Linked DNA regions of Lytechinus pictus. The protein of the gene in region 2 interacts with the protein of the main gene of each other region in a pairwise test. Links are inferred from orthologs where the notes say so. Each region holds a gene or a part of one and is shown on either strand. Other genes may lie near its edges. The genes, in order: abl interactor 2-like and regulator of MON1-CCZ1 complex-like.

The links.
Region 1: the proteins of regulator of MON1-CCZ1 complex-like (region 2) and abl interactor 2-like interact in a two-hybrid assay, tested with the Caenorhabditis elegans proteins (2 studies listed by BioGRID). The link is inferred for Lytechinus pictus from reciprocal best matches to the Caenorhabditis elegans genes Y50D4A.4 and abi-1.

The regions. Positions count from the first base shown.
Region 1 is NC_087247.1:39,149,119-39,166,407, reverse strand, and holds the start of abl interactor 2-like, read right to left. Parts: upstream 7,689-17,289; 5' UTR 7,617-7,688; coding exon 7,500-7,616; intron 6,281-7,499; coding exon 6,113-6,280; intron 5,791-6,112; coding exon 4,917-5,790; intron 4,354-4,916; coding exon 4,225-4,353; intron 1-4,224.
Region 2 is NC_087261.1:21,294,281-21,311,871, forward strand, and holds the start of regulator of MON1-CCZ1 complex-like, read right to left. Parts: upstream 9,428-17,591; 5' UTR 9,316-9,427; coding exon 9,211-9,315; intron 1,915-9,210; coding exon 1,838-1,914; intron 901-1,837; coding exon 816-900; intron 1-815. Other genes in the region: choline transporter-like protein 1, read left to right, coding at 15,317-15,358.

The DNA.
Region 1 (17,289 bases), on a different chromosome or scaffold from region 2:
AATTTAAGAAAGATGATTTACATGTTCAACATGGAGACTTAATGGAAATATCAGATAATGATTCCAGATAAACACAGATCTACCATAGAGGGAGGCATTCAAAAACAAGTTGAAAGAAGATGTTGATTAATGAGAAAATGAGCTGCTACATGTAAATGCATCAATTTTCAATCTTTCTTCTAAAAATTGCAATAGTTTTCTTTTTTTTAAATTATAGCAAAACGAGAAAGGGGACAGTGACAACGATTTCTCGTTCTCTCTCTTTCACTTCTTCCTCCTTCAATCTTTCTTCCATTTTTCCTTCGACCTGTTTTTTTCTTTAAAAAAAAATATATAATTTCAGCTCTATTTGAAAGCTTAAAGGGGTTTTAAAAGGCACTTGCTCTTATAGTTTAATATTCTATCTTTTCCCACTCAAATCTGTCTTTGTAATAGCAATGCACTCCAATGAACTCTGAATAACGCTGTATTTGATGAAAGATTTAAGCACATGGAGTTGACCTACATGTACATGAATAATTATGGAGAATATTTGGTGCACAATGATTTTTTTCAATTATTATCCTGGACCTGGAGCATAAAATGGAGCATAAAATATAGCATTTGCATGGTGAAAATATGTAACATGGTCCTCAGATCTAAACGCAAATGTATACTGGAAGACAAGGTATATCTATACGTACATGTTTGTACTTACAAACTAAAAGTCATAAGTTGCATGTGGGTGGACATTCTGATAACAAATTCATGAAAAAATGTTGAAATACATGAGAATGATTGGTCAATTTAGGTGAAAAATTTACTTGATACAGACATTTTTGGTAGATGTAGGAAAAACAGTTATAAAAATGAAAACAGATTTTCCAAGAGGGATCTAGACTTTACCTTTCTCAATAAATGGAACTGGATCTCCTTGTTCATCTAAACATGTCAAGAATCCACACAGTTATAAATTACTCTGACCCAAATCTATATACATGAATAGCATTACATTTACTTTACTAGCATTTCTGATGGCAAAATAGTCCAACAAGAATGCATATTTCAGCTCCCACAAATTTAGTTTAATTCATTTCAAATATCTAATACTTTTTATCATCAAAGTTCAGTCTTGTATCTTTACATTGGACTTGGGTGGTATCTCAAACTTATTTTATAGGGCAAGTCCACCCCAACGAAAAGTTGATATGAATAAAGGGAGAAAAATCCAACAAGCATAACACTGAAAATTTTATCAAAATTGGATGTAAAATAAGAAAGTTATGACATTTTAAAGTTTTGCTTAATTTCATAAAACAATTATATTCACATCCTGCTCGGTATGCAAATGAGGAGACTGATGACGTCATCCACTCAATATTTCTTTTGTATTTTATTAAATAAAATATGAAAAATTTTTCTCCTCATTGCCAAGTGAAACAACGATTAATTCCTCCCTGAACATGTGGAATTGATGTTGTTTAATACTATATGGTTCAGTCAAGTTGGTCCTTATTGTCAAATCTGTAAAAAATGATATATTGTATAATTCAAACAATAGAAAGCAAAAGGAATAGTGAGTGAGGGACATCATCGACCGTCCCATTTGCATGTCACTGAGTTGTGCATATCACTGTTTTGTGAAAAATTAGCGAAACTTTAAATGTCATAACTTTCTTATTTCACATCCGATTTTGATGAAATTTTCAGCGCTATGCTTCTTTGATTTTTCTCTATCGATTCAAATCAACATTTCTCTGGGATGGACTTGACCTTTAACTAGAATCCCTATATACTGAAACTGACCAACCAAAGTATATGTTGCCAAATTGGTAGTTTTATGGGGTGATCGTGTGCTGTAGAGAATGCTACACTGTGCTTGTTATAGTGTATTAAATTGGTAACAAATAAAAGTATTAATCACTTTTTTATATTGTTCTGTTCATTACTTATGCATTAGCTAGGGTATACATGCAGATGGACTCATCTGTTGACCAGTTCAAGGAAGCCATTAAATCTCATCTGTTTTGCTTACATGTAGATGACAATGGATTGCATGGACTGTCTAAGCTGATCATTCTGACATGTTGAAGTATTTTTCTAGTGGCCCAAACATGGAGTACTGTGAATGCAAGCGCTTTGTAACCGAAAGGAAAAGGTGCTATATCAACTTTGGATTGGATGGTGTAGAGGAAGAGATCAGCGAATGGCAGGATTTTGATAATCAAAAGAGGTGGCATGGTTTTTTTTTCAGCTGGAATACAGTCACAGTTTATAGATTTGGGAGCTTTCCCAGAACCGTCTCAGGGCCTGAAACTACTGGGATTTCATCCCGATCTCCTATCGGCTAAGTTTTTCAAAACCAATGAGTGGGTCCAAAATATGAAGTTGATTTAAAAATTACATAAAGCACTCCACACGTGTCCTGGATTGGATATATAGGATACTCTCTATAATCCAACCAATGTTTAACTACATGGATTACCAAAAGCATGCATTTGAAATTTATGCCTCTGTGATTGCATGCTCAAGAATATACACCTAAACTCTAAAATTTTCATGTACTAAAACTTTGAAATTGTCACCACCAAAACTATTCAGATAATCTTTACTTTACATAAACATATTGACCCGAATTCGCAAAGGTGGTTTTTAAAACCATCGGTTGAACCCATGGTTTATGCAGATTTCCTGTATAAATTATGCCTATTTATCACGTATATTAAAAAATGTTCAATGCTGATGCGCGCTTTTGTCAGTGTGCAAAATTGATGCCTGTTGCTATGGTTGAGTACATATATGCTAATTTATTCATGAGTCCACTGTTTGAAGAGTGGACTCATTAATTCAAAACAGTGGACTCATAAATAAAATAGCATGGATAATCACAGCAACAGGCATCAATTTGGCGCACTGTCGGAAAAGCGCTCATCAGCATTATCAATATCTATATGCTGTAAATAAGAGTAATTCAAAAAGGAAATCTGAATAAACCATGGGTTCAACTGATGGTCTTAAAAACCACCTGTGATTTCAAGCCACACTGATACAGGGTGTATGATCCAAATCTGACAATGATCCATCAATGATTATCAGTTATCACAAGAAAGAAATATTTTCAGTAATTTCATGTAAAAATAACCTAGTGACCTCTGACGTCATACATGTAACGCCAAAATTTAATATCACCGCTTCTCCAATATGTGATACAAACCAGGTTTAAAGTTAATCCCTTAAACAGTAATAACAAGAACGAGACATTTCAATGTAACATCCTCTGAGCAATTCTTAAAATGATAAACCTTTTGTATGCAGACCCCCATTTTCTCAAGTCTTACTTCACTTCATAAACTAACCAACTCCTGGTCCTTTGAGAACATTGGTCTGTCAAAAGAACAATAAATCAGAGACGAAAAATTTCATGAAGGTCCCACACATAAGGGGTCGGAAACACACATTTTATGGAACTGCCCCTCTGTGACCTTTATCTTTATCCCATTTCCCCAAAAAACAATCAGATCCTCATCACTCCCATGGATCCAAGAGCCAAATTTGCAGCTGACCCCTCATAAGTTTCTTCAATTATGAGAATGAGACAGTTCAATGTACATGACCTCAGTTATTGTCTTTGCTGTTATGCTGAACGCAAGCGATACGTCTGATGTGGCAAAGACTTCGAATTGTGGAAGCGAAGCATCCACTGCCTATAGACTCCCATCTGCCTAATCAATATTCATGTTTATTCAACAAATTGAGACATTTCCATCTTAATAGCCATGATCGCTAAGATAATCATAGATATATGCCTTACCTTCTACTTCATAACGTATTTCTGATTGGTCCAATTTATTTCTTCTTCAAACATATGCATAAGAATTTTTCGTATGAAAAAACAGGCATCATTTCATTGTCGATAATAATAAAGCAATATCCAAAGCAAGACAGGAGTCTATAGGTGGTGGATGCTTTGCATACACAATTTGTAGTCTTTGCCACATCAGACGTATTGCTTGCGTTCAGGATAACAGCAAAGACAATATAACTGCAGACTCCGCCTCGAGTAGAGGCGAATCTTATAATAAACAGCCCATTTCCTTGACGATTAGCTAACCCATTGGCTACTTCCAGTACGCAATGGGTTAACAACATGCACACTTTGCACTAGAAAGATTGTACTACATCTCAAAAAAGCATCTAAAATCAGTATCTAAAACTGGCAAAGAACAGTTCCTGAGTGACACTTACCTTTCTCAATGTACTGCGTGGGAACAAACTGGTCATCATCCACCTGTTCAAACTCTGGAGGTGGAGGCATCACCACACTGTCTTGGCTATATACCATAGAATCCATAGGAGGAGGTGGCAGATCTGAGGCTGTTGATAAAATGGGTGGGTGAAATTGGTGCAAAAGTAACACATTAACAGAGTTATTTCATTTTGTTTCTTTATCATCCAGGGCTCTGTTGCACAAACTGATCATCGATACTAACAGTACTTTGTAATTTAATGATAAGTTCCATGGAAACCTTGATTGTGATTGGAAGTGTAGTAGTATGATAGTTACTATTAATGAAAAGTAACCAAAGCACTGATGATACATATTTTACAGCAGAGCCCTAGTATTGAATGTTGTCATGTGCAGGAAATCATCATCAACAGTGCAATGAAATACATCTGAGAAAGATACAGAATGGTGATTATGAGACATTAGATATTATCAGTGTTTCTCATTTTATATCTGAGGGTGCCTGGTTTAATAATGATCTTCATGCAGCCCGATTCTCACCAAGTGATTGTAATATGACTTGATACTTGAGCATTAAATAAATCATGCATATATCTATGCAACCATGTCATGATTAAAGTGAAAAAGGAATTGAAATGACTGAATTTCTTGGCCTTTACTTCCAAAAGCACTTGAGATGTCCGGAACCTACCTCCCATATCAGGTGGTGGAGGCATCCCGATATCCCCATATGGGTTAATGGAGTTACGTTGGGCTTCTCCTGCACCTGGCCTCATTCCAATAGCTTGGTTCAGCTGGGCAGCAAAATTTGGCTGTTGCTGCGGGGGTGGTTGTTGGGCTGCTGGGGGTGGTTGGTGTGTTGCTGGAGGTAGCTGATGTACAGCTGGTGCAGGTGATGGTGCTGGGGGCATCATACCTCCTATTGGGGGTGCAGGAGGGGCAGGAGGTCCCATATTAGGTGGTGGTGGTTGGCCCATGTTAGTATGTGGAGGCCCACTCATGACAGGTGGTGGAGGTGGCACTTGGCCGACTGGTGCCATACCAGGGTGTGTACCTGGCATGTTTGGTGGAGGGGGTGGGGCTGCAGGTACATTTGGGTCTGGTTGTCCCTGCATGTATCCTGGAATCGATGGCCTTTCCTTTGGTGGCGCCCCGTGGTGAGAATCCCGCATGCCCACTTTACCAATAGACATATACTGTGGTGGTACAGTTGGTGCAACTGGTGGGTGATTGGGCATTCGTCTACGCATGGAGTTGTACGGGTCATCCAGTCGTGGCTGGTAAACTGGCAATGCTTCATATGCTCCACCACCACCACTGTTAGATGTAGAAGTGCTTGCTTGTGAATCTGTTCGTGGTCTACCTGACGTTGTTGAAGGAGAACTAAGTTTGAGACCATGACCTACGTCATCCAGAGCTGAAAAATCAATGGGAGTGGACTTATACTTAAGCTGCTTCTCAGGATTGGGTGGTGTGACAACCTTATGAGTGCGAGGGCAATTCTTATTGGTGGTTAACACACCAATCTCTCGACGTGCTACTTTCTCCTTGTGGATGGCAACATTCTGAAAGAAAAAAAAAGAGAGATTTGTTTACAACTGTACTTTGGCAATTCCACAGATTTGTCGAATAACCACCAGGCTCATGCTAAATGAATTTGCTGTACCTCCAATCACACATTTTATTAGTCCAATACTAAGTACTATGGTGTATAAAGAAACAATAACAATTTTATGGAACAAGTTGGGGGGAGGGCCTAAAACACATCAGACAGTGTGAATTCTTAATGAGTCAAAATCAACATGTACAGTACTTTACATAGAAGAAATTAAATTGCTTCCACACTGTCTTTACCAAGTTGAAACTGAGGAAAAAGATTGAGCTTACCTGTGCTATGTGATTGATGCTAGACTCCATGTTGGCCAGCTGTGTGGCTTGAAGATCTAGCATCTGCAACATACTGGTAGCAAGTGTGTTGATCTGATATGCCACACTGGCAAGAGATTGAGTGGTGAAGTTCTTTGTTTCCTCAAGTGCTCTCCTCTTATCAGAGGCCTTTATCAAAAAGATAGAAAAGGAAATATATGATGAGAGTGATTTGTGTGGTAATGTATGGTAGGATGGGATGGGATTATCTTATGATTTGTTGATGCCTCATTCAGATATGAAGCAACTAAGCTCAGTAATGTTTTTCATAGAAAAAGTGAGACTAATTGCCTCACCTACATCCAAGTAAACCTGTATAATATTTTTCAAGTTTGAAAAGGGCTGAGCTACTGTAGATTTGAAGTCCACATTAGATTGGGGGACATCATGACCACTAAGTTTGAGGGAAGATGACAGTCAGAGGCAAAAATATGTCTTTTTCAATGCCATAATATTCTAAAGATAGGCAGGGAAAAGGCAGTTTCATTAAAATCACTTGGTCTTGGGTGGTTTGTCACTTCACAGGTATTATCTTAATATCCTGTTTCAATTTTTATGTGACTGGTTCATTCGTTTAGACTTCTTTTAATCTTAAATTTTCAGTTTGAGTTTTATTTTTTCATTGTTGTGGAGTCTGTTTGTCACACCTATACATGTAATCTGCGTGATTCTAGTATTTATAGTAAAAGAACAGAAATTTTACGCATGCAATACATAGACAGATATTCATAAAAAAATCTGATTTAAAATGGTGGGAAAATAATTAAATCGTTAGGTGCGCAGGCTTGGGGACCACCATCATAATATAAGTTTGGTAAGTTCCCGTCTGCGCAGTCCCCCTTGTCTGCGCACTTGCGTATCTGCGCGATTCTAGTAAAAGATACGTAATGAACACATTTACACATGCAATACATAGAAAGATATTCATCAAAATGGTGGAAAAATAATGAATTTTGGGCATTTCTTGTGACGGCCTCAAAATGCAGCCTTTCTCAAAATCCCAGAGTGAATGGGTGCGCAGACATGGGGCACCATTTTATTTTCTTGTTCAATCTGAAAGTGAAAGTGAAAATGACTGCCCAATGTTTTTTCCGAAAAAATCATATATTTCATTCAAAATTTTCAAATTATCATGACATGAGATATTTGGCACACTAACTCATAATGATGTCAGGAACATTATCAACTGAAAATTTTGTGAAATAAAAAGAAATATATGTTAAATCTTAACTCAAATTTTAGGTGCGCAGAGTTGGGGACCAATTCAATTTCGACCAACAATAATAACATGACCAACTTAAAATTCTGCGAGTGGGACCGAGGTAATACAAAAATTGATTAAATCTACCTTCCGGTAATTATCTTCGCAATAATTAGCCACATCTTGCAAGTTGTGATGACTGTCCTGTAAAGCCTGTCTTCCAGCAGGAATTTCATTTTCGAAAAGAAGTTCCAACGTTGACATTTTGTACAATTTTGTCCAAGTTCGCAGAAGCTTCCGTGTTCATAAATGGAATTATGGGTAATCTAGGAGTGTCACTCTCACTTCCGGTATTTGGGGAGCGTTTCATGAAATTCGAAAGGATTTGTCGGACGTTTTTCCGAAGGTCATTTTATGGTTTTAATCCGACAGTTACCAAAGTGACATTGCTTCGCACCCAATCAAAATCAAAGAAAGATGTTAGATCTGAAAATTTGTCGAACGAAAACGTTGCATTGATGAAACACTCAGGGCCCCGTCTTACAAAGAGCTACGATCGATCCAGATCCTATCGCGCCCCCGGGATCAACCTCAAGTATATGGAATTTTTTTTATTTGGAAATTTGCACATTGTGCTTTGAAAACAAAGAGAAAAACACTGAATTTTCAAGAAAACAGTAAATGTATTTACATATCTTGGAAATATTTTGAACAAACATTTATTTCAAATGTTGACGTTGCTGGCTTTCCATAATTGTGGTTGATTGGATCAATTCGTACATGTAGGATTGTAAGACGGGGCCCCCGGGGGGGGGGGCACTCGACCAAAAAAGTGGTAGGGGTGTGCCGCGGGCGAGGCAAAAAACGGGGGCCTTATAATTGGAGCGGGCTTATTGTAAAAAGGAGGGTCCTCGGAACTACAAATGTTTGTGAAAACGGGGGTCCTCGGAACGGATCTCCGTATCTCTGTGAGTGCGTATGCATCCCTATGGAACGGGCAACGTGCACGACGCAGCTAGCGCGGCCTCCGCCGGGTGCGCTCGCGCTTAGGCGATGGTCGAAAAGCGCTCTACGGCCGCTTTTCACCAAAATTGTAGCAGATCAATGCGACCGGAACGGCGTAACGAAAAATATGCGAAGCCTTGGAGCGGATTTCTTTCTTCTTTTTTCTCGATAAGAAGGAAATGCTATGCCTTGGAGCGGCTTTCTTTGTTCTTTTTCTCAATAAGACAAAAATGCTATGCCTTAATTGGAACGGAAATTTGAGTGTAAAAATGGGGGTCCCCTCCGCGGCACATACCCACTATGCATTATATACTGAGTGCCCCCCCCCCCCCCGGGACGGGGCCCTGGGTGCGCGTTTCCGTTTTACACCCTGGCGAAGGCATTTTCCGAAAAAATAGCCACAAAGCGACTAGTGAAGAGTCTACGTCTACGTTTGTTTACATAATCAGCTGGGCGCGCGATCCAAAATTCCGCTCCGAAGATATCCGCAGAACATACGTAGACGGGTCAATATACGACCAAAAATAGCCTTACCCGGAACAAATTGCAACAAATGATTTTTCAACGGTATTTTGTACTATTTGACCTCAGGAATAACATACTAAAAATCTACCTAAATCCGCATCCGGGAAAGTGGTTATTTTCAAGATGGCGTCCAAGATAGCCGCCATTCACTGAAAATTGATACAACTGACACATTATCCACCCTAGAATCCTATTTCGTTCTATATTCCATGGTCTGGGGCACAAAAGTTGATTTAGGCAAGAAAGAATTATAAGCCCTCCAGTGTACCAGGCAAATCCAAGATGGCGCCCAAAATGGCTGCCGTGGGCTGAAAATCCACAATTCATCTAAATTTGTTTTTCATTCAATGGTTTTAAGGGTGAAATAGTACATTGAAACTAGTTACAAGGACAGCCAGTGGTCTGGTGTGTCCAAAAATCCAAGATTGCTTCCAAAAACGGAGTTTAAAATGGCTGTTGATAATTAAAATGGACATAGTTCATTTCATATCCGCCTGGGACATAATGATTTTGGTGTCTAGACCACGAATTCAATGGTCAAATAAGACATTGGGACACGTTACAAGGACAGTCAGTGGTCCAGTATGTTCAAAAATCCAAGATGGCTTCCAAAGATGGAGTCGAAAACTGCTGTTGCTACTTAAAAACCCGACATAGTTTGCTCAATGTCCAGAAATATGATTTTTTTTTGTGTCTATACCATGGTTAAATGGGTCAAATAATACATTCGGACAAGTTACAAGGAAAGTCAGTGGGCTGGTATGTGCAAAAATCCTCGATGGATTCTAAAAATTGATTCTGAAATGGCTGCTTATACTTAAAGCGGACATAGCTCATTTCATTTTGGACTGGGATATGTGATTTTGATGTCTAAACCACTGGTTTCAAGGGTCAAAAATATATTAGGATAAGTTACAAGGACAGTCAATGGTCTGGTATGTCCAAAAATCGAAGATGGTGTCAAAAAATTGGTCTTAAAAATATGCTGCTGATACTTAAAACGGACAAAGCTCATTTCATATTGGCCTGGAAAGGTGATTTCTGTGTCTAAACCACTAGTTTCAAGGATCAATTAATACATTAGGGCAAGTTACAAGGACAGTCAGTGGCCTGGTCGGTCAAAAAACCTAAGTTGGCTTCCAAAACTTGATTCTAAAATGGCTGTTGATACTTAAAAGTGGCATAGCTCGTTTTAACTCAGCCTGTGAGATATGATTTCGGTGTCTAAACTATGGTTTCAAGGGTCAAATAATAAATTAGGACAAGACAATGGCAGTCAGTGGCTTAGTACGTCCAAAATTACAAGATGGCTTCCAAAAATGGAGTAAAAAAATGTCTGATGTTACTTACATAAGGACATAGTTTGTTTAACATCTGTCTGGGGAATATGAGTTTGGTGTTAAAAGCATGGTTTAAAAGGGTCAAGTAATACACTAGGGTAAGTTACAAGACCAGTCAGTTGTCTGTATGTTAAAAAATCCAAGATTACTTAAAAAAATGGGGTGTAAATTGACTGTTGTTGTTTAAAAGTATGCATAGTTTATTATAAATACACCTTGGAGGTATGATTTTGCTGTCTATACTAGAGTTTACAGGGTCAAGCAATACATTGGGATAAGTTCAAAGGACAGTCAGGTGTCAGGTATGTCCAAAAATCAAAGATGGCTTTAAAAATGGGGGTCTTAAAGACTGCTGTTACTTAAAAGGGGATGTAGAACATTATAAATACACCTTGGGGATATTATTTTGGTGTCTACACTAGGGTTTCAAGGGCCAAACAATACTTTGGGACTGGTTACCATGATATGCAGCAATTCATTTTGCCTTGAAATCCAAGTTGGCTTAAGAATGGGTTCTAAAGTGACTACCGTTACATAAAATATCTACCTGTTAGAAATAATCTTGGTGCCTACACTTAAATGCATGGGGACAAGTTATCATATTGTTTCATGAGTTGGTAACAGCACCCATTTTGATGAAATTTTAGAATCTTTGACAAAATGGGGTACTAACCATCTTTGTTACTTTTCCGAATGTATTATTTGACCCTTCATACCACAATTTGGACACCAACATTATTTCTTGCAGATGAATATTGTAGAACTCTGACCAGTATTGAATGATATGAGTCGTTTTAGATTCCTTTTTTAAAAACCCTCTTGTGTTTTAGGCAAACTGGACAACTGCATATCAATGTAACCAGTCCAAACGTATTATTTTAATCATGAAACCATAGTGTGGACACCGAAATCATATCTCCTAGGTGGAATTTAAAGGAACTATGTCCATTTTTAAAGTAACAGCAGTCATTTTAGACTCCGATTTTTGGAAGCTTTCTTAGATTTTCGACATACTGGACCACTGACTGTCCTTGTAACTAATTTTCTGCCTTTTGAAACCATGATATAGGCAACAAAATCATATGCCCTTGACGAATAAAACCTAACTATGTCAATTTTTAAATACCATCGCGGCTAATTGATACTATGCCACCGTGGACTTTTGGACATACTTGACCAACAAACGTCCTTGTAACCTATCCCAATTTATTATTTGACCCATTTAACCATGGTATAGGCACAAAAAATCATATTCCCGGATATTTAACAAACTATGTTGGTTTTTTTTAAAGTAGCAACAGCATTTTTTACTCCATTTTTGGAAGACATCTTGGATTTTTTTAACATACCGGACCACTGACTGTCCTTGTAACTTGTCACAATGTATTATTTGACCATTGAAACCATGGTCTAGACATCAAAATCATATCTCTCAGGTGGATGTGATATGAGCTATGTCCATTTTAAGGATTAAAAGCCATTTTAAACTCAATTTTTGGAAGCCATCTTGTATTTTTCGACACACCAGACCACTGGCTGCCCTTGTTACTTGTCCCGACGTATACTACTCCATCATTAAAACAATCGAATGGAAACCAAATTAAAGCCACTTAAGTAAGTAATAGATGAATTGTGGATTTTTTAGACTACGGCAACCATTTTGGGCGCCATATTGGATTTTCCTGGTACCCTGGAGTGTTAATATTCACTCTAACTTGTATAAATAGATTATTTTACCCATTGGATTATGGAATATGAATCCAAATAGGATTCAAGGGTGGATAATGAGTGAGTTATATCAATTTTTAGTGAATGACGGCCATCTTGGACGCCATCTTAAAAATAACCACTTTCCCGGATGCGGATTTTGGTAGATTTTTAGTATGTTATTCCTGAGGTCAAATAGTACAAAATACCGTTGAAAAATCATTTGTTGCAATTTGTTCCAGGTCAAACAATATATTGACCCGTCTAACGTGCAAATGCAGCTGAGCTTATAGACCAAAAGCTTCAGTCTCTGTATTTTCGTTGTACCGCTAAACTATTTACGTTGGCTTCTTGATTTTTTTTTAAACTTTATCGCACATGATCGTTTATATGAATGAAAACAAATAATAGCTAAAATATTGAAAAATAAAACACATAATTACTTTTTTTTTCATATTATATCTATCCTTATATCTATCATATCTGTCTATCCACTATCTGTCTTATAAATCAATCTATGGAACTACATGATATATCTATCTGTTAATTTGTCTATCTACTCTGTCTCTCTCATTCTCTATCTACCTATCTATCTGTCTATCTATCTATCTATCCATCTAACATCTATCTCTCAAATTCTCTATCTATCCACCTGTCTCTCTTTTATTCCTCTCTATCCATCTATTAATCTACGCATGCAATATCAATACTGCTTCGACTTCCTTCGGGAGTCTATTTCCTCAGCTCTACTTTTCCCTTTTTTGTGCTCGATTCGATTAAATTACTACTTTATTTACTTGTTACCATTGTTAAATGTCTTGCATTGCATAATGAGTTTTTTTTTCTGAAGGTTGCCTCCTATTCTCTTTCAAATTCCACCTCTTGCTTTCCCTTCTCTTTGTCTTATCCCAATTTCTTTCCCTTCTCTCACCTCTTTCTTCTTAATCTTTCATTCCGCTTTTTTCTTCTTTGGTGACACTTTGTAGTACTTTTGGCCTTTTGTATTTATTTATGATACATTTCTTTTTCATCTGTATGAATTTGTATTTTATTTGATATTTATTTATAATGTTTACTTTATATTTTGTTATGATTCTATTTGTATGTAAACATTCACTTATTTCAGTCTTTGACTGCTTGTGATTGTATTTTGATAGTTTTTATTGCAATAAAATCCACTATATATATATATATATATATATATCTCAAATTCTCTCTATATATCCATCTGTCTGTCTTTTTCTCTCTATCCGTCTATATATCTATCTCTCAAATTATATCTATATAGATCTATCTATCTATCTATCTATATATCTATCTATCTATCTATCTATCTATCTATCTGTTAATCTTCTCTGTCTCTCTCATTCTTTATCTATCTAACATCTATCTCTCTCTCTCTCTCTATCTGTAGGATCTTATTCAAAGTTAGATAACCCTTTTGTTAAAGTCCATGTTTTGTTAAACTCTTTTGTTAAACTCCATGTACAGATGTGGACTGCATACCTTAGTAACTGAACTATAGGCATGATAGGTTGCCTGGTATTTCAACAGGCTGGGTTGTCATAATAAGTAGACTATAGGTTAACAGGTGTGTAGGATGACAGACTCTTTGTGTTACATATTTCTGTTTGGTGTGCTGGCAAGAAAAGCCAAGCCAGCTCACTCTGACTTCTGATTTTGGAGAGGAAGGTCCGTTTTGGGGTGTTTCCTAACCAAGGAAAAGGGCGTGTGCCACAGTGCGGGCAGGTTCCTTTCTACTCATGCCGAATTGTAAGTAATGTTTGGTTTATATGGTTTTAATGTTAATACAATTCTTATGCTTAATATGGCATGTCTGTTTTCGGAAAGAAAGATAGATTTACATATATATATTCTGCTCATTTTGTCACCAAATTACATATATTTCTTATCTTACTCCATTCCTCAAAGTGAATACAATTATCCTTACTAAAATGAACAAAGTTGTATTTTGCTATTTAAAGTCGTACAATTCTGTGTCATTTATAAAAAGCTTGTTTTGCAAATTATGAATATTTCATGTGATACCTCCGGTGAAGGAAACGTATTTTGCAAGTCTGTTAAAGTCAATTATATAATCGATCTACGATTCAGAGAGAAAGTTAATTATATTAGATTTCTCCACACTGTTATGTATTTTTTGACTATCACAAAGCTCATGCTAATAAAAGCTTGTTATTTATTTACTTTGATAATATGACAGCTAATTTCGATAAGCTGACATCTTTGTGAATAGAAAATTGTTAGGGTCTTTGCTGTTAAGTATTTGGTCTATTCCTATTTTAGGCGGCTGTCAACCTAGGGTCAACCCAGGGTTAATGTAGAGTCAACGTACGTAGGTCAGGGTAGCACCTATACCCGCTATGTCAAGGTCATGAGTCACAGAGGGGAATGACTCACTTCAGTCAGCCGAAGCTTCTGTTCGTCGGACTCGACCATAATTCTTCCTAGTTATAGAGCTTCAACTCAACTATGGTTCTTCGTTCTTCAAGGACACGGTCGTGTCTTCGCTGATGTGCATCGCGTTTTCATCGTCCCATAATTGTTCTTCGTTGTCGTCGATCATCGACATGTTCTTCGTCGTAATCGTCGCCTCTTCGTAGTCGCCGTGGTTTGTCGATCTCTTCTGTTTTTCGAACTCCACTTTACCCGATTAAGACTTTCGGTAACATAATTTAAAGGCCTATTTTTAGATCGATCTCTTCCCATAAACAATCGATGATGATTATATTCCTCTTATGCATATATGGCATTTTATGATTTTTATATGCAAAGATTTATTGAATATCCATTTGCCAATATACTTATGTTCTCAACGATTCAATGTTAATGGCTTATTATATTTTATGACATTAAATTGATCACTTCATTTATATCTTGAATATCCTTTGGTCTTTTATTCAGGGTGGTTAAGTAGCCTGTAGATTAATGAGTTAATTAGAGCAGTTTCGCTCGTGACACTATCTATCCATCTGTCTTTCTCTAGTTCTCTCTCTCTCTCTATCAATCTATCTATCTTCTATCTATCTATCTATATGTAACTACAGTATCTATCTATCTGTTAATTTGTCTATCTTCTCTGTCTCTCTCATTCTTTATCTATCTATCCATCTAACATCTACCTATCTCTCAAATTCTCTATCTCTCTCTCCCCCCTCTCTCTATCTATCTATCCATCTATCTGTCTATTATCTATCTATCTATGTAACTACAGTATCTATCTATCTATAGCATCTCTCCATCTCTCAAGTTCTCTCCCCCCCATCTATCTATCTATCTATCTAACCATCTCTCTGTCTTTCTCTCTCTCTCTCTCTCTACTTCTATCTATCTATCTATCTATCTATCTATCTATCTATCTATCTATCTATCTATCTATCTATCTATCTATCTATCTATCTATCTATCTATCTATCTATCTATCTATCTATCTATCTATCTATCTATCTATCTATCTATCTATCTATCTTCTATATCTATCTTTCGGCATCTAAGTGTATCAATCCATCAAACTTGGTGAGGGACTCGCCTGTGTCGCACGCTGCAACCAGCGACGTGTGTAGACTCTTCACTAGTCGCTTTGTGGCTATTTTTGCGGAAAATGCCTTCGCCAGGGTGTAAAACGGAAACGCGCGCCCTGCGTATAGCGTCTCATGAAAGGACCGTGTCAGACGTTTTATCCGATAAGTCCCATTTTATAATAGTTACAATGGTAACAGAGCTTCTCAGCCAGTCAATATCAAGGAAAGTTGTCAGATCTGACAACATGTATGACAAAAAAATTGTTGATGAAACGCTGTTCCATATATAGCTCCATGGTCTGACTGCCAAGTCTGCATGCAGTGGCGTACCGTGGTTCACGGCATTGTGGGGGGGGGGGGGGGCACCAGCAAATGATTCAGAGCGCTTTTGACCCCCGAAAATATAGTTAAAACTTCAATTTTACAGGATTAGTATTGTTATAATGTAGGTGGAAGTAGTGTGGTTAATTTGAAAGAAAGCACAGTGGCGTACCTGGCATATTTCGTCAGGGGGGGGGGGGGGGGGGTAGTAGGCATGGACGTATAGGCACAATTTTTCAAGGGGGGGCTGATAATCATTGCCCAAATATCAACTTCACAGTTTTTAATTTTCGAGCGAGCGAAGCGAGCGAACATTTTTTTCAATTATTATTTAGCCATTTAACATGATATGAAACTTGCAGAAATTATACATTCCGTCATCAAATTACCAATACACGAGGATGTTTGGGCACCTCGTATTCCTCGTTGCCCTGCATTTTGCAGCCCCCCATAAACGTTTGGATGTGTAGGTCTGGAAGTGGCACTGAAGGTGGGAAAGGTTACCCAGGGGATGCCCAATAAAACAGTTGTAATCTTGCTACTACTGATATTTGCTATCGGGCGATTGCACTTTATTGTCGAAATTATTATTTTTTTTTTTGCATAATAATTCCAGAAATAAAATGTATTGGATCGTGATCGATATATTTCTATCAAGTGGTAATTGCAATGTTTATATTAAAATACTTCTTTTATTCCTCTTTGAAGGTGTTTACATTATGTTCCCAATTCTGCTCATTTGGAGACGTTATAAAAGAGGTATTTGACATTGAAATCAGTTGTATTCATGTATTGATTTGCATTTGTTTTATTTCCATATACACAGTTAAAACAAAAATAAATGCATCCTTTCACTCATAAAAAAAATAAATATGAACGTGAAAATATATGCGACAGTAACATGATATATCACTAGATATGGGGAAAATCACTCACTCACTGGCAGGAATGTCAGAAGGTTGAGGGAATTGAAATGGGAAAATATAGATAGGTGGACGAAGGGATCAGGTACATAGGATAGAAAGGGGGACGGTAATAACCAGAGGAATGTGTAAGCAGGGGTATAACTAGGCCTTTACCCGCGACATATATCAGTACCGATTACTGACGTCCGACGAACAGTACTCATCTATATCCAACCCAGAGGCAGATCCAGGATTTTCAAGGGGGACATTTTGTTTTAAAAAATTTGACAAGCCCCACCCCAAAAAGTCTTCACTTTCAATTGCACGCGCCTAACAATTTACACTAAAATTATATAAAAATAATAATTGCGAGCGCGAAGCGCGAGCTGAAATTTTCTAAAAAACTTAGACCTTAAACGATACATTTTTATGCACTTAACTATGAATAGGATGAATATCTTCCTTAATAAATTATGCGAGCGCGAAGCGCGAGCTAAACATTTTGATATTCCTAACTGGAGACTAGACATTCTAATCAGTTTTACAAGATGGGTATCTAAAGAGTCGTGCGGGCGCAAAGCGCGAGCTAAAA
Region 2 (17,591 bases):
TTCGGGCAAGTAGTTTTGGTCTTTACTTCAAAACACTTGCCCGACTCTAACTTTTACTTGCCCCGGGCAATCAGGCAAGTGCTTATGTAGTACCCTGGTACATAAGAGGTGATATTTGACCTTGACTTTTTAACAGGTGGAATTTTGCCAAATGGCCCAAAAAGTCATGCATACTAGGATATTGTCAATACAGAAGTTAGGAAACGAGTAGCCTACTATTTACAGTTTTCTCAATAATGTACCTAAAAAATCAGTATAATTCAGAATTCGAATAATTAAACTAGACTTCAAGAAAAAGTGGGGCGGTAATATTAACAGTCCAATGATTTTCATGATAGTCATATCAACGTTTTTTTTAAACAAAAAGTGGCAACCGCTACATTGGTTTATTCTCTTGACTCAGGTACATGAACTTATACTGTATTCTGATAAACTGGAGTTTAACCTATAGGATGCAACTTTAGTCCACACTTTCTTGGAATGCTGATTTTCATCTCTACTTCTTAAATATTCATGGCAAAGAAAATTTACTTCATAATTTATTGTACAAAGCTATTACCATATTCTGCTCATTTCACAACACAAATAATATTTGAACAACTTTTTTGCCGAAGCATTGAAATAATTTTTGAATGGTGAATGAGCTGACAACTGCCACTCCATAAAAATTGTGGTGTGAATTAACTAAACCATGGCTATACGAATACCGCCCTTTATTTATAATGGTGCAAATGTGTGTGTGGGGTGGGGGCAGGGGAGAGGGGGGGGGAAGGGGCTGAAAGAACCTACCGCACCGGTTACACTTTTATCCTTACCACTGTCCTCTGTGATCTCTGCACAGCTAAGATTCGAAGATCAGATGAGAATTTGATGGATATAACTGGTCCTTTGTCTTCCATTCTGTGATTTCAAGTAAACATAATCATTTATAATCATTAGCCGGGTAATATAGGAGCGCCTTGAGCACCTAACAAGGTGGATATGTGCGCAATAAAAATATCCTATATTATTATTATTATTATTATTTCTGTTTACTATACAAGAGAGTAAGACCTAATACTTGGTAATAAAATCATATATTCAAGATACAACCATTGGAGTATGGAGTGTGCAATACAATTACACGTACATGTTCTAGCATTGCATTTTGATCCTTTTTTCCCCCCTTTTTGTACTGACTTTTCTACATTGTCCCTCTTCCTCTGTACTCTTGATTATGGTTCTCCTTTCTTTCTCCCGTTTTCAGCTTCTGACTTTATATAGCAATTCTTTTCCCCTACCATTTCTCAAAGTAGAAATGTCATCTTTTTATAGCCATACACCCCCTTGCCTTTAGCAAGGCAATAATCTACACGTGCCACTCTCCACCCAGGCGTAGTGACTGCTCAAGGGCATGATCAGGGTAGCACTAGCCATATCATGCTGGGGTAATAGTTTGCAGCGCTTAGAATCCTTAGCGCTTTATAAATCTTGCATATATTTCATCACTATTACCTTCGCCTTTCCCATCCTTTCTCAAACTGCGGGATACATTTCAAACTGTTTTTGTAGCATTATGCAACAGTTCATACATGTACATGTAGAATGACTTAAATCTGATCAAAAAGCAGAATTTCTAATATTTTGTTTATATTGTAAATGGAGATTACATGTACCATTTTAAGATATCATTGATGTATGATTCATCAATTCATGTATGCATAGCCCCCCCCCCCCCCCCTTACTTCCACAAGCATTCTGTATGACTGAGATCATGATTATCTAATAGGTCACTTTGACTTGGGTTTAACTTACAAGTTCATGACTGAAACTGTATTTCTGAAGAAAAATAAGTTACCTAAATGTTGTGCTTGTCTTTTCGTCCGGTCCTTTAACAACTACTCCAAAGGCTCCTCCTGATCTCACAGCGAACACCTGAAACAAAATAAAAACGCATTATCCAGAATTATAAACTATTTTCTTTGAATCCTATCTTAGAAAGTACATTTCTGTGTATATTATTACACATCATGGGAGGGATATACATACATACATGTACACTGTAACCGAATTGTCTAAACTCAGAATAAAGAAAAATATGTGCTTGGCATTACAAGAATTCATTTTTTTCTTGCATTTGGACATTTTGACATGCATAGACAGTTCTATGACATTTGCTCCAGCCACAATTGCTCTGAAGGAAAATCTGCACATTAAGCCAAACATAACTTCCTTAACTAACCCTAATCCTGATCCTTATCTTTATTCTGAACCCAAAACTCTTATTACAATCCTAAGTTCTGTAACCCTATGCCCTCTGAGATATTAAAGACACGAGCAAATGTTGCAAGATCCGCACAGACATAATCCATTTATTGCGTGATTTGGGGGCCACAAGATCCAAGGAGTGCATCAGTGCTTAAGTTCATTCATGGTCATCAAAGGCCATAGCTTACATGTACATGTAGGAGTCTCCAGTCACCGAGACCATCTTACATGTACATGTACATATCACAAAAAACCTGGCTGGAGACACTTGCTCACTGCAACCATCCTGCCTGTGGGGAATCTACAGGTAGGACTGTGGTATGCCAATGCTGTGAGCACACACTTTAAAAATCATTAAAATATCACTTTTTGTGACCAAAATTACTAATTTCCATACAGTTGCAATTTATTTTCATTAATAAATTGGGAATAGCTGTAATGGAAACTGACAGTGTAAAAAAATTAAGCATTTGTCCCAAAGATAAAGAGAAAAGAAGCCAACCATTGCCAACCTTATTTTGTCACTCATGGAGATGTAACAGAGAACAAGGTTATATCACAACCTTGTTCATTGAATGAGTGGCTAGAGACAGGACTTTCAATCACCATTAAAGCTTCCAATAGGTTACCTCTTACACTCAGACAATCGCCATCGTTAATTAAAAAAGGCACTTGAAACATTTGTATTTTCCATTTCAGATTTTTAGGATTGAAGGTTTCATCTTATAAGATATAAGGAAAAAGTTACAAATTTTATATAAAGATTCTTGGTAACTTTTTCCTTATCTTATTGTAAGTATTTGGGGCCATTGTGGGAAAAGCAGTCATATATTTTAAAAATACATAACTAAATATAAAACGTTAACAAATAATTACCGTATATAATATTGACTGGCCTTGAGGGGAACATAAAATATGTCGCCCGCAACAGAATTATATTGGCCCGAGTCTTTAGACAAGGGCAATATGGTTCCTTTAAGGGCGACATATTTTATGTTTCCCGAAAGAAGAGCCAGTCAATATTATTATTATTACCTAAAGCTGTACAATGTGTAATTCAAGCTACTATTCGGAACAATTTATATGCCTGTTTGCTTATCACTACTTCTGATTTCAGGTTATTCACGACCTTAGCGATGTAACCTTTAATAAGCAATTGTGTATGAGGCGCCGAATGTACCAATATTATATAGAACAATTATTTGTTATATAATCATTATTTATTAAATAATAACTATTATTTATATATAATTTACATTTTATTTGTAAATAACTACTATTATATAAAATATCATTTCTAATTATTTATATATAATTCCAAGTAATACTTCATTATTTGTAAATAATAATAGTTCGACATTCCATTATTTATAAATAATGATTATTTGTTTTTCATTATTTATAAATAATGATTATTTGTTTTTCATTATTTATAAATAATGATTATTTGTTTTTCATTATTTATAAATAATGATTATTTGTTTTTCATTATTTATAAATAATGATTATTTGTTTTTCATTATTTATAAATAATGATTATTTGTTTTTCATTATTTACAAATAATGATTATTTGTTTTTCATTATTTATAAATAATGATTATTTGTTTTTCATTATTTATAAATAATGATAATTGGTTTTTCATTATTTATAAATAATGATTATTTGTTTTTCATTATTTACAAATAATGATTATTTGTTTTTCATTATTTATAAATAATGATTATTTGTTTTTCATTATTTATAAATAATTTGTTGAGTTTTCCATTATTTATAAATAATGATTATTTGTTAAATAATGAAAACGTCTACTTCATTATTTATAAATAATTTTTTCGAGTGCACCATTATTCTCATTATTAATAAATAATCATTATTTAATGTTCGAGTTTTCCATTATTTATAAATAAAGATTATTTGTTAAATAATGAAATATCTACTTCATTATTTATAAATAATAATTTTGTTTCAATATCCCATTAATCATTATTTATAAACAATTTTTACAGTTTGCCATTATATACAAATAATCATTATTTATATACAAATAACCATTATTTATTAAATAATGCCATTATTTATTAAATAATGCCATTATTTATTAAATAATGCCATTATTTATTAAATAATGCCATTATTTATTAAATAATGCCATTATTTATTAAATAATGCCATTATTTATTAAATAATGGAAAACTCGCTATAACATGCAAATGTGGGACCGCCCATGATATGAATATTCATGATGCGATTTCCTTTTTCGTGATTTTTCTTCACAAATTTTTGTCCATTTCCTCTTCATAATGACATTTCTTGAAGCAATTTTCTAGGGATATGGTCTGATTGTAATATTATTCATTTTCTATATAACTTCGTCTTCGTAGAAATATCAAAAAGTGTAATTTTATACGATTTTTCCTACAGTTCACAATCCCCATAGGCGCGCGTGTACGGTAGGGACAACCGGTGAATCGACGGAGTGCTCTTCATCGAAATACTACGTTGGTTGGTCCGCGGAAGTGGCGGGCGGAATTTAGCCCGAATCCTCGATGGAAGTCGATCAAGTGCATATGAGCTGAGAGAGTGAAATATCAGTGTACTTGTACAGGCCCTTCTACTTTTTATAATTATTTCTTGTTGCTTTTTTGTTAAGTTAATTTTTCCTGGTGTAGAGATAAGTTTCAGTTCTAATAATGCACTTCAAATACATTTTGGAGTGTCTGTTTGAGGCGTTTGGGGCGATTTCACCCTGGCCCCAAAATGCTCGCAACGACAATACGGGGGCATGATGACCCCTAAATTTTTAAAAACTTATTTTTCTATTGAAAATTATCTCAAAATTCACCAAAAGTGTGCACGAAAGCCTTCGTATTTCACTTTTAAAACTCCAAAAAGTGCCCAAATGACAAGCTTGGTCGCTTCGCTGTGTCGCATTCAACTTGAGAACGTTTACGCGTCTGCTTCGATATATCCCCCCCCCCCTCCTCCGAAAGAAATTCTGTATACGGCCATGCTCTAAAGAGCCTGGCACATTGATTTATGTATACTTTCATTTTCATTATTTTTATCTCATTATCAACATGGCCTTACGCAGAATTTTTTCCAGGGGGGCCGGGGCCGGAGCATGACGCGCGTAAACTTTCTCAAAAAAATCTTGAAAGCGAGACAGCCACGGGACCAAGCCCAAATGACAAGCTTGGTCGCTTCGCTGTCTCGCTTTCAACTTGAGAACGTTTACGCGCGTCTGCCCCCACCCCCCGAAAGAAATTCTGTGAACGGCAGCATATGGCACATTGATTTATATGTACTTTTCATTTTCATTATTTTTATCACATTATCATCATGGCCTTACACAGAATTTTTACCGGGGGGGGGGGGGGAGCAGCTAGGACGCGCGTAAAGTTTCTAAAAAAAATCTTGAAAGCGAGACAGCGACGCGACCAAGCTCAAATGACAAGCTTGGTCGCTTCGCTTTTTCAAGATTTTTATGAGAAAGTTTACGCGCGTCCTGCTCCCCCCACCCCCCCCCCCCCCCCCCGGAAAAAATTCTGCGTAAGGCCATGATGATAATGAGATAAAAATAATGAAAATGAAGTATACATAAATCAATGTGCCAGGCTCTTTAGAGCATGGCCGTATACATAATTTCTTTCGGAGGAGGGGGGGGGGGGAAGCAGACGCGTAAACGTTCTCAAGTTGAAAGCGACACAGCGAAGCGACCAAGCTTGTCATTTGGGCACTTTTTGGAGTTTTAAAAGTGAAATACGAAGGCTTTCGTGCACACTTTTGGTGAATTTTGTGATAATTTTCAATAGAAAAATAAGTTTTTACAAATTTAGGGGTCATCATGCCCCCGTATTGTCGTTGCGAGCATTTTGGGGCCAGGGTGAAATTGCCCCAAACGCCTCAAACAGACACTCCAAAATGTATTTGAAGTGCATTATTAGAACTGAAACTTATCTCTACACCAGGAAAAATTAACTTAACAAAAAAGCAACAAGAAATAATTATAAAAAGTAGAAGGGCCTGTACAAGTACACTGATATTTCACTCTCTCAGCTCATATGCACTTGATCGACTTCCATCGAGGATTCGGGCTAAATTCCGCCCGCCACTTCCGGGGACCAACCAACGTAGTATTTCGATGAAGAGCACTCCGTCGATTCACCGGTTGTCCCTACCGTACACGCGCGCCTATGGGGATTGTGAACTGTAGGAAAAATCGTATAAAATTACACTTTTTGATATTTCTACGAAGACGAAGTTATATAGAAAATGAAGAATATTACAATCAGACCATATCCCTAGAAAATTGCTTCAAGAAATGTCATTATGAAGAGGAAATGGACAAAAATTTGTGAAGAAAAATCACGAAAAAGGAAATCGCATCATGAATATTCATATCATGGGCGGTCCCACATTTGCATGTTATAGCGAGTTTTCCATTATTTAATAAATAATGGCATTATTTAATAAATAATGGCATTATTTAATAAATAATGGCATTATTTAATAAATAATGGCATTATTTAATAAATAATGGTTATTTGTATATAAATAATGATTATTTGTATATAATGGCAAACTGTAAAAATTGTTTATAAATAATGATTAATGGGATATTGAAACAAAATTATTATTTATAAATAATGAAGTAGATATTTCATTATTTAACAAATAATCTTTATTTATAAATAATGGAAAACTCGAACATTAAATAATGATTATTTATAAATAATGAGAATAATGGTGCACTCGAAAAAATTATTTATAAATAATGAAGTAGACGTTTTCATTATTTAACAAATAATCATTATTTATAAATAATGGAAAACTCAACAAATTATTTATAAATAATGAAAAACAAATAATCATTATTTATAAATAATGGAAAACTCAACAAATTATTTGTAAATAATGAAAAACAAATAATCATTATTTATAAATAATGAAAAACAAATAATCATTATTTATAAATAATGAAAAACAAATAATCATTATTTATAAATAATGAAAAACAAATAATCATTATTTGTAAATAATGAAAAACAAATAATCATTATTTATAAATAATGAAAAACAAATAATCATTATTTATAAATAATGAAAAACAAATAATCATTATTTGTAAATAATGAAAAACAAATAATCATTATTTATAAATAATGAAAAACAAATAATCATTATTTATAAATAATGAAAAACAAATAATCATTATTTATAAATAATGGAATGTCGAACTATTATTATTTACAAATAATGAAGTATTACTTGGAATTATATATAAATAATTAGAAATGATATTTTATATAATAGTAGTTATTTACAAATAAAATGTAAATTATATATAAATAATAGTTATTATTTAATAAATAATGATTATATAACAAATAATTGTTCTATATAATATTGGTACATTCGGCGCCTCATAATTGTGACGTAATTGTTACATGTACCTTGCAGTCGCGCATCATGCATGGCACGCACATACACTCAACGCATAGAAATCTTGCGCCTTGGTTACGTTTGTGTATGCCGCACTGGCCTCGCCGCGCATTGCCTACAATGTGTTGTACTTTGTTTCATGAACTGGTTCCAGCAAGATTTCTGAAATACTGAAATTAGCGATCAGAATCGGCTCCAACTGCGCAAGCGCATTAGCAGAAATATGGCCAATATTGTCCTCTATTTTGTACAGGATTCCTATGGGCAAAGCCCGGGGAGGGCAACATGGCAAATTTATTATTTAACAAATACTAAAATTTAATAAGTGATTATGAATATAAATTATTATTATAATATTTATAATCACGTATTAAATTTTAGCCAAGGCTCCATGCATGATGAAGAAGTATATATGTCAAAATAATAAAAAATATCATCATGGAGTCCTCAAGGCTATGTAGGACCCCCTTCCATAATTTGGCATAAATGTTTTTTTTGTCCTAGGAACTGAAAACAAACAGGGGTGGTATTCTGAGATCCATTTTATCTCAGATAAAATAAAATATTTTATCTCCGTTAAAATCAGTGAGATAAAATACCCTTAAAATCTCTCCGAATTGGTATTCTGAGAACAATTTTATGTTCATTTTATCTCTGTAAGACACACCTATTTTTTAATCAATATCCAATTAGAAACGCGCTTTTATAGCTCTCTCATATCACTCAACCAATGAAAATCCATTCCGCCAGGAGGTGTGGCAAAGGAGTGAGATTGCGTCAATTTATTAACTTCAATCACGCTTGCAATATACGCTTGCGCATTTTTACAGAGATTTCTTTTTAAAAAATGACAATATATTCATCTTTTTTCGAAGTCTATATTGCATCTTTTCAAGCATCATTTCAAAGACAATATTAGTCAAGAAAAGTCTTATGAAATTCTTCCTGATTGTACAGGAATAACGTTAAGGTATTATTTTCAATAGGCCTAAATATATAATTTTTCTTCATTTTCATGTCAACATTTGTAGTTAATTCACCAAGAAATAATGATGAAATCAACGTCGCGGAGATAAAATAGCCCCTACCCTCTTTTAAGTTTATTTTATTTTTTCTTCAAAGAAGTAACATGAGCGCAAGCACATCATTCGCGTTGCAATGCCATTGCCAATGGCCAGAAGCCCAGATACGCGATGGGTATGTCTACGCACATGACGCAGGCACTCCTCTGTTGCGTATCATCTGTAGATACGCAGATACAATTTCTACGCAAGATAAAATGACCTCAGAATACGTCCCCAGACCTCTAACGTTAGTCGTTTTTTCCGTTAAATCCGATCGACGTCCGACTCAGCTCAGACCTCAGTCTCACTCTCAGACTCAGATCAAGCGCAGCTTCACACGCACACGCCCACATTAACATCCGAACCAGCGACTAATGACGGTGTAGATACCCGGAAGCTCTGGCGACAATCAGAGACAGCGTTCCGCCGGAATAGTGTTTTCGCAGCTCACTTACCTGTCGTTTTACCTCATCGTAAAATACGTTGGTCTGACGGCTGATAGGTTCAAATCTTATCGGATTTCCCGACAGTTCTACATAGTGTGATTGGTCCTCAGCCATATTTGTAGATATTCTTCAACAATTTCGGTTAGAAGAACAATTTTCAATATAATTTTACCAGGACTCAGTCAACTCCACATTCGCGATCTCGTGACCTTCAGCCTTCATCCTTTGAACCTGTTTTCACGCACAAGAAACGAGCTGGGGCCGATTGCACGAAAGGGTCTTTCCAAGGACCGTCTTTCGTGTTGCCCATCTCCTTATGATGCGCTGTATGCGGGATATTTCTGAAATGTATGATAAGCAAATATAATTTGTTAGCTAGCATTTAAATCAATTGGTATACAATTTTATTATATATTACATCATTTTATAACCATAGATTTTGTTTACTTTAACGGATGAATAAATTATGTTTGCAGGTAATTTATTTAAAATGCGTTTCACATGGCGCATCATAATAAATGGGCGACACGAAAGACGGTTCTTGCAAAGACCCTTTCGTGCACAGTACTCGACTGTGCATGTTTCGGGCGCCCAGTGATTCCTCATTTGTTCTTTCTTTCTTCATTTCTTTCATTATCCTTTTCCCATATTTTTCTTTCGGTCTTTTTCTTTCTTTCTCTTTCCTTCCTTCTTCCTGTGATCATTCATTCCTTTAATTCTTCCTTCTTTCTAGCTGAGTATCTCTCTCTCTCCCCTAGCTTCTAGCTCGATCCCTTCCCTTTTCCCCCTTTTTGTTTCTTTCTTTCTTTCTTTCTATATACTCTCTTCTTTTATCAGGTTTCTCTCGATCTCTACTTTATTCTGGACTGTGAACTCGTCAATGGAAGTCGGGCTGTGGAACCCCTAGCTATATAAGGGCGGCGGAGCGAAGTTGAAAGTGGAGGGGGGGGGGCAAGGAAAAAAGGGCACTTTGGCTTTCGAAAAACAGAAGAAAAAACTTATCTATACAGTGCTGTAATGTGCCCACATTTTTTAGGGGGCTAGATATGTCTCATCACGTAACATTTATATTTTGAAAGTTTTCTAATGAAAATCCAATTTCGTGATAGATTAGGATTACTCTTTTTTTTCATAAGTAGTAACGTATATGTTTTCCTGTTTCAAACGGGCACTCTTTGACACATAAAACGGGTCTTCTCAAGTGAAAGGGGCACAGAGCACATTTTTTAGAGGCATTTTTTTTTAGGTAAAAAGGGTCACTGATACAAGAAAGGGCACTAATAAGAAAGCAAAAGGGCACTTGCTAACGACATAAAACGGGTCCTTCTCAGGTGAAAGGGGCAAAGAACACGTTCGTGATCGAGGGGCACTTTTCTTGGGTAAAAAGGGGCAATGATTCGAATAAGGTCAGGAAGGCAAGGGGCACTTGTTCACGTACATAATTAAAACGGGTCCTTCTCAGGTGAAAGGGGCACTGAACACGGTCGTGAGGGGGCATTTTTTGGGGTGAAAATTTGGCACTGATATAGGCCCTGTAGGAGAAATATGGCACTTGTTAACAAATAAAACAGGTCCTTCTCAGGCGAAAGGGGCATATACGTTCGTAAGGGGGCATTTTTCTTGCCTAAAAAGGGCACTTTTTTCGCCGCCCCTGCCCTTAGCTAGCTGCCCACTTTAGCAGGAATTCAGCCTACGATAAAGGTAAAAATGTGTCAGAATCAATATTGCACCCCCCCCCCTCCCGGAAAAAGTAGATATGCCTATTACAAAAATATCTGTATCTATATCGTTCAGTCAGCAAAATACCAGGATTGGCACATGACGCTAACATGGCTAACTTGATTGATGAAAAGTGACTTGGAGAACATGGCGAACGTATATTATAATAGTACTTTTGCTTTTTACTTTTATTATTACCCATTTACAAGACAATGATTCAGCATGGCGAGATATAACCATGGCAACTGTAAGATAAAATTTGAAAACCTAAGCCCCTTTCACAATTATTGGTGATGCGACTGCTTACAACCGTTGCGATTGTGTGCAACATATACTGTGACCAAAGTGGTTGCAACCGATCGCAAGTCTCGATTGTGAAAGCTTTTTAACAGAAATAGATCTTAAAGTATGTTCCCCCCCAAAAAAAAAAACACCTGCGTACAGCTCACTGAATTCTAGCCCCCCCCCCCCCCCCGATGGAAAATGATGGAGAATTGGCATCAGGAGGCAAAAAAGGTGAGGGATCAGCGGGCATCAAATTTCCGTTGCGAGCGTGAACAGCGAGCGAGCCTTATAATCGATTCTAACTTATTTTGGGCAAATATACGAAGTTATAAGCCATATTTGGGTCAAGATTATGATGCTTAATAATGACATGATAAAAGTAAAAACAACATTATTGTATGAACATTTTTGGGAGCGCGAGTCCCCTCCTCCAGAAACATCACTCACCCCCCCCCCCCCCGGCTCCTGATGGGGTGTGGAGAGAATTACACAAACGACAGGGGCGATTTGCCAATGGTTTTATTTTACCGTGTTACTCCATAATAAATATATAAAGCCCTGTGAATATCCACCCACTTAAAGGACATATTAGCATTTTGTGGAATAATTTGCTCGCCTACTCATTTATTTTTTTACTCTTTCTTGAAAAGCTGCCATAGTTGTGGCTCGATCCTATCGCAGCATTTCGAGGTCGCTTGTACCATACCTTGAGTAGCTAGAACGCATCACCTAGAGGCCCGTGGTATCATAGACAAAAATCTGTTGCGTCGAAGCCATGTGAAATAGGACTACAAAATACATGACATAGGTAACAGTGTGATATTGGACGCATGCAGCCAGACAGTTTTAATACAGGATTGCGCTTAATTATGTTCATAGAAGACAGTGGCTCCTAAATCTAATACTGATTAGATATACTAGCTGGAATATATTACACCCTTTCAAGCCATCGTATTCAGCTTTTTATACGTAAGGTAGGATATAACATTATTTTGAAATGATTGTCGCTCCCCAATCTTTCAGTTGATTTAACATTTCATTTTTTTAGTTGAAGATGGTGATGATGATGGTAAAGATGATGATGATGGTGATGATGATGATGGTGATGATGATGATGACGATGATGATGATGACGATGCCTGATGATGATGATGATAATAATGATGCATGATGATGATGATAATGATGATGATGATGACGATGACGACGATGGTGATGATGATGATGATGATGATGATGACGGTGATGATGATGATGATGACGACGATGGTGATGATGACGATGATGATGATGATGATGATAATGAAGAAGAAGAAGAATATATAATGGGGATAAAGATGATGATGATGATGACGACGATGGTGATGATGATGATTATGACGATGATAATGATGTGCTGGTGGTATTTGCGGTGGTTTAATGATACACACACGTAAGCACAAAACTATTTTTTTAATTGAGAGTAAAGATATATCATTCCATGATTAATTGCAAGAGACCAGAGCAAGTAAGCAATATAATATATACCTATTTTTAATATCAACTTTCTAATTGTCCCTATGATAGCCCTGATCGTGTCCCGTGAGTTTCTTAATATTATCTTTGTCTGTATCAGGGTTTTAAACTTTTAATCCAATAATGTGAATGAATAAAACTCCTGATCAGAGGTTACTCATAATAATAAAAAACAAAGATGTTAAATCAACATTATTTTGGTGATCCGTTTTCCAAGTTAACCATTACATTTTGTAAATAGTAAAAGCAATTAAGAAAGTGGGTTCAAAATTCTATTAGACAAGTTCAATTCTATCTCTTCCCCTGCGACAAGCAACGTGGAGGGAGAAAGAGAAGCATTTAGATCATAGGTCGTACTCAAATTTCAGGATAGGGCAGCGATGTCAAAAAGCTTGGGAACAGTGTCAAAATATGAAGCACTTTTTAAGGCTCTATTGCAAGTTCATCAATAAAGAATATCCTATTTTGATAATTCGAAGATTATGTTCCAAGTGTTCTGATGAAAACTAACGCTTTTACAAAATTACAAGCGGTGCGTTTAAGCCTATATCACTCTAACAACATGTTGTTCAAAATGTCTAAACAATTATTTAAACTTTTTAAACATGTTAGAATCTTTAAACAACTGATGGGCTTAAACAACTTGCTTTAAAAATTCAACAGCGTTCATTTCTGGCATAATTTAGGTATAACTGACGAAGAAATAATGAAAAACAAAACAATGAAAAAGAATTTTTGTCTGTCGATTCACTTCATAATTATAAAGACAAGCTTATAAGATTCATGCGATGTTACACTCTCACCAAAGAAACGACCCCTGATCGATCAAAGCTATTACATTATTTCCAAAGACATATATCATCTGTCGGTTTGGAGTCGGTGTCGTTGGTGTGACTAGGACCTCATCGGGTACCTGCAGAAATGAGCAGGAAATCACAAATTCTGATCATGGATGTGGATTGCATTATGTATTTTCGGTCGTCTTGGTTACGGGGACGCTCCAGCTGCTGTTTTCTGTATAGTCACCTGACATCATGTATATTGGATTTGGTGTTTTGTAACTTCATAATGTCGATGGTGTAATTGAAAGGAGTGATGGCAGTGGGGGGGGGGGGGGCATTGGCGGCGGAAGCCAGAAAATGTAGGGGGGACCACCAAAAATTTTTGACAACAAAAAAGACAAACAAAAGTTATATATCAACCAAAATTTTAGGGGGACCGACAGAATTTGTTGACAAGCAAAAAAAAAAAAAAGGTTATCAACAAAAATTTTAGGGGGGATCGTCCCCCACCTCAAATTTAGGGGGGACCTGTCCCCCCGTATCCCCGTTTCCGCCGCCTATGGGGGGTGGGCAGTGGCGGATCAAAGGGGGGGGGGGGTGGTGGTTTAACCCAAACTTCGGGCTCCCTAAAAACATAATTATTAAAAGGAGTGTGGGATCAAACTCCAACACCCACTTCCCTGTCTAGAGGTAGGACGAATTACGTCGCAGCTACTTGTAAACTCCCTCTTGGCAAAAAGCTGGATCTGCCATTGGAGAGAGGGGGTCTGCAGACTCAAATGTGATAGACGGAAGGGGATTTTCCCTAATCATGCCAGTGCTCTAGGTACACCAACGAATAACCGACTCCGTTGGTATATCATTGGTAATCGCATTATCTGTTTGCAGTTTCACGAGATGTGATCATGGCGGGGGGAGGTGGAGGAGGAGAAGGGGAGGAGGGGAGGAGGGTAGAGCCTACTCATGCCTTTGTGTACTGAAGGCCCTCTCGCACAGGAATTTAATATATGCTAGTATTTGTGTTAAAGGGATGGTCCAGGCTGAAAATATTTATATATTAAAACATAGAGTAGAGCTCACTGAGCAAAATGCCGAAAATTTCATCAAAATCGGATAACAAATAATAAAGTTATTGAAGTTTAAAGTTTAGCAATATTTTGTGAAAACAGTCGTCATGAATATTCACCAGATGGGCTGATGATGTCAAATCCCCACTTTCCGTTTTTTTTTAATGTTATTACATGAAATCATAATTTTTTATTATTTCATACTTGTGTGAATAATATGTCTCCCTTATTATAAAATAAGTTGCAGCAATTAATATCTAATGCACTAAATCAGTTGTCAATCCAATTTTTCTAGTTCTAGGAGGAAAAATTTGAATAAACCTAATTTCATATAATAAAATACAAAAGAACAAGTGGGGATGTGACATCATCAGCCCACCTAATGAATATTCATGACGACTGTTTTCACAAAATATTGCTAAACTTGAAAATTCAATAACTTTGTTAGTTGTTATCCGATTTTGATGAAATTTTCGGCATTTTGCTCAGTGAAATCTACTATATTTATTAAGCTATAAATACTTTTAGCCCGGACCATCCCTTTAAGAGCCACTTGTTGATCGAAATTTCAATCAGGGCCTGTGCTTGCAGACTAGGAGGGGGATTCCCCCTCAAAGATGTTAGGGATCAGTTACAATTCTCCGGAAGCTTTATCGTATTATATCAGAATTTTATATTTTATTCTATCGCCTCAATTTTTTCATTGTATTTTTACTTTATTCAGAACATGCCTAAACGTGAAGAAACATGAGTTGCTGTGGTGGCCATAACCGTGTGCGACCTTTTGATGTAAGTACATTGTCAAAATTACAATCTAAAGTGTTAGGTAGCTTGTTTATTTGGACAAAATTGGATATCAGTATTTTTATGAGATACCATAAGAAGTTACCTAAAAAAAAAAAAAATAAAGCACTTGAGTAATAAAAAAAAATGACAACAGATGTTAATATTTTGGGTGGGCATTTTCTCATATCGACTTTTTTTTCAATATTTTTATCTCCTCTTCTACTCCCCCCCCCCTCCCCCTGCCCTAAATATACTAACCTAGCTTTTGAGAGGGAGGTGCATGCAAAAATGAATTTGATATTTTTTTTTCCAAATCCATCGATCGCTTTTATGCGATTTTTTAAGATTTGTTTTCATGGTTAGAAGGGGATGACCTTCTCCAAATGGGTTGCTTTTCAAAAGCCAAAATTTGGGGGGACATGGACGCCCCCCCCAACCCACCCGTAACAGAAGCGGATCTAGAGGGGGGGGTTGGGGGGTTGCAACCCCCCCCAAAAAAAAAAAAATCCGGGGACCATTTTTTAAAATCTTATCTTTTTTTTAAAACTTGTAATTTTATTTTATTCTATTTCTATGTATTTATTTCATTTATTATTATGATTATTATTATTATTATTATTTCTTTTTGGGGGAGGGGGGGGGGTTGGGCGAACAAATGTCACAGAGTCCCTTGCCCCCCCCCCCCATCAGCTTTTTTGAGGACACGGGCCACCGCCGAAGTGACAAGCTAGGCCAGCGTTGCCGATTCTCACCCCCAAAATCCCCACATAAAAAAATTTAAAAAAAAAATGGGGGGATTGTTGAAGTCTTTGGGGATGAAAAATAAATATTTGGGAATGAAAGTTCCAGCAAAATAGTTCAGGGATTTGTACAGAAACATCCAAGGCGTCTCTTCTGCCAGTCCATCATATTTGACTGAGATTTGCCAGTGAGTATCAGTGACAAGCTGTTCATAATAAAAGTATTAGGCTAACAGTGCTTATTCCAAGGTCCCCAATTCTTTGTATCTGTGTTGTTAACTGGCCTTACATTGCAGGAAAATGCAACTTAATTTTACAAATTTTCATGGGGGTTAATTTGGCAACGACCTCTATACCAAAAAGAGTGGTGTTTTAGATGCAAGAAAACGCCATTTTCACACACAGATTTTCAAAAATTTTCCCTACTGTGGGAGGGGGGACACCCCCCTCCCACACCCTCCCCCCTCGCTCGCTCCGCTCGCTTGGACTCGGTCGCTACGCTCCCTCGCATACCACCCCAAACCCCCCCCCTTTATAAAAAGCTGGATCCGCCCCTGCGTAATCGCCGCCCATGTGGATATTGATTCCCCTCGGACTGAATCGTTTGTGTCTGTGATTTCTAACTGATTGTGATGAGAGTGCGCGTTCAGTGCACTGCGCATCAACAATGAATACACTTTATTACGTCACACATTCTCATTCGCCGAAACGATTAGCAAGTATCGCGCATGCGCAGCAATGGCCAATCTCGTATAGCAACAAAATGTGTTATGTAATGATACAATAAATTTTCAACACTAAAATTCAGACACAACTCACAGCTTAACAAACAAACAAACAAGCAAAGGCTACCCAGAAAAGCAAGCAATAACAAAAAGAAGAATAAGACATGCAAGAGCTGAATTGAAGAGAATGAAGTAAACTTGTTAAACTATTGTACAAGAAAACATAGTTGCTGTATTGAAAATGGGCGGAGTATTGGAAACAGAATCGGAAGAACCGGAAACTAAACCTGAACCAGCGAAAAATTTACAACAAATTGAAAAAGGTCGGGCAAGTTCGTCCAGTAAGAAAGTGAGTATAACCAGACAATGTATTTTCAAGATAAAGACGACATTAGATTACGTTTATTTTGTAAAACAATACGCCAACGGATACTTTTCCAAAGGCGATATTAAGAGTTCTGCGTTATTATTTACGAAAATTAATCAACTGAATTTGCAAGTTGGTTCGAATTCTAAATCAAAATAATTGTAATCTACACTGTTAAAAAATAATTTAAACAACACTGTTTACTATGTGAATCACACAGTAGTTGTTTAAAAAGTTTAAACAAGTGTTTAAAATCTTGAACAACCATGCTTAAATTTTTAATAATTGAATATTTGAATTTATACTTTGTTTCAAACACTTGTTCAAGATGTTTAAACCACTACTGTGCGATTCACATAGTAGACAGCGTTGTTTAAATTATTTTTAACAGTGTAAAAAGAAAA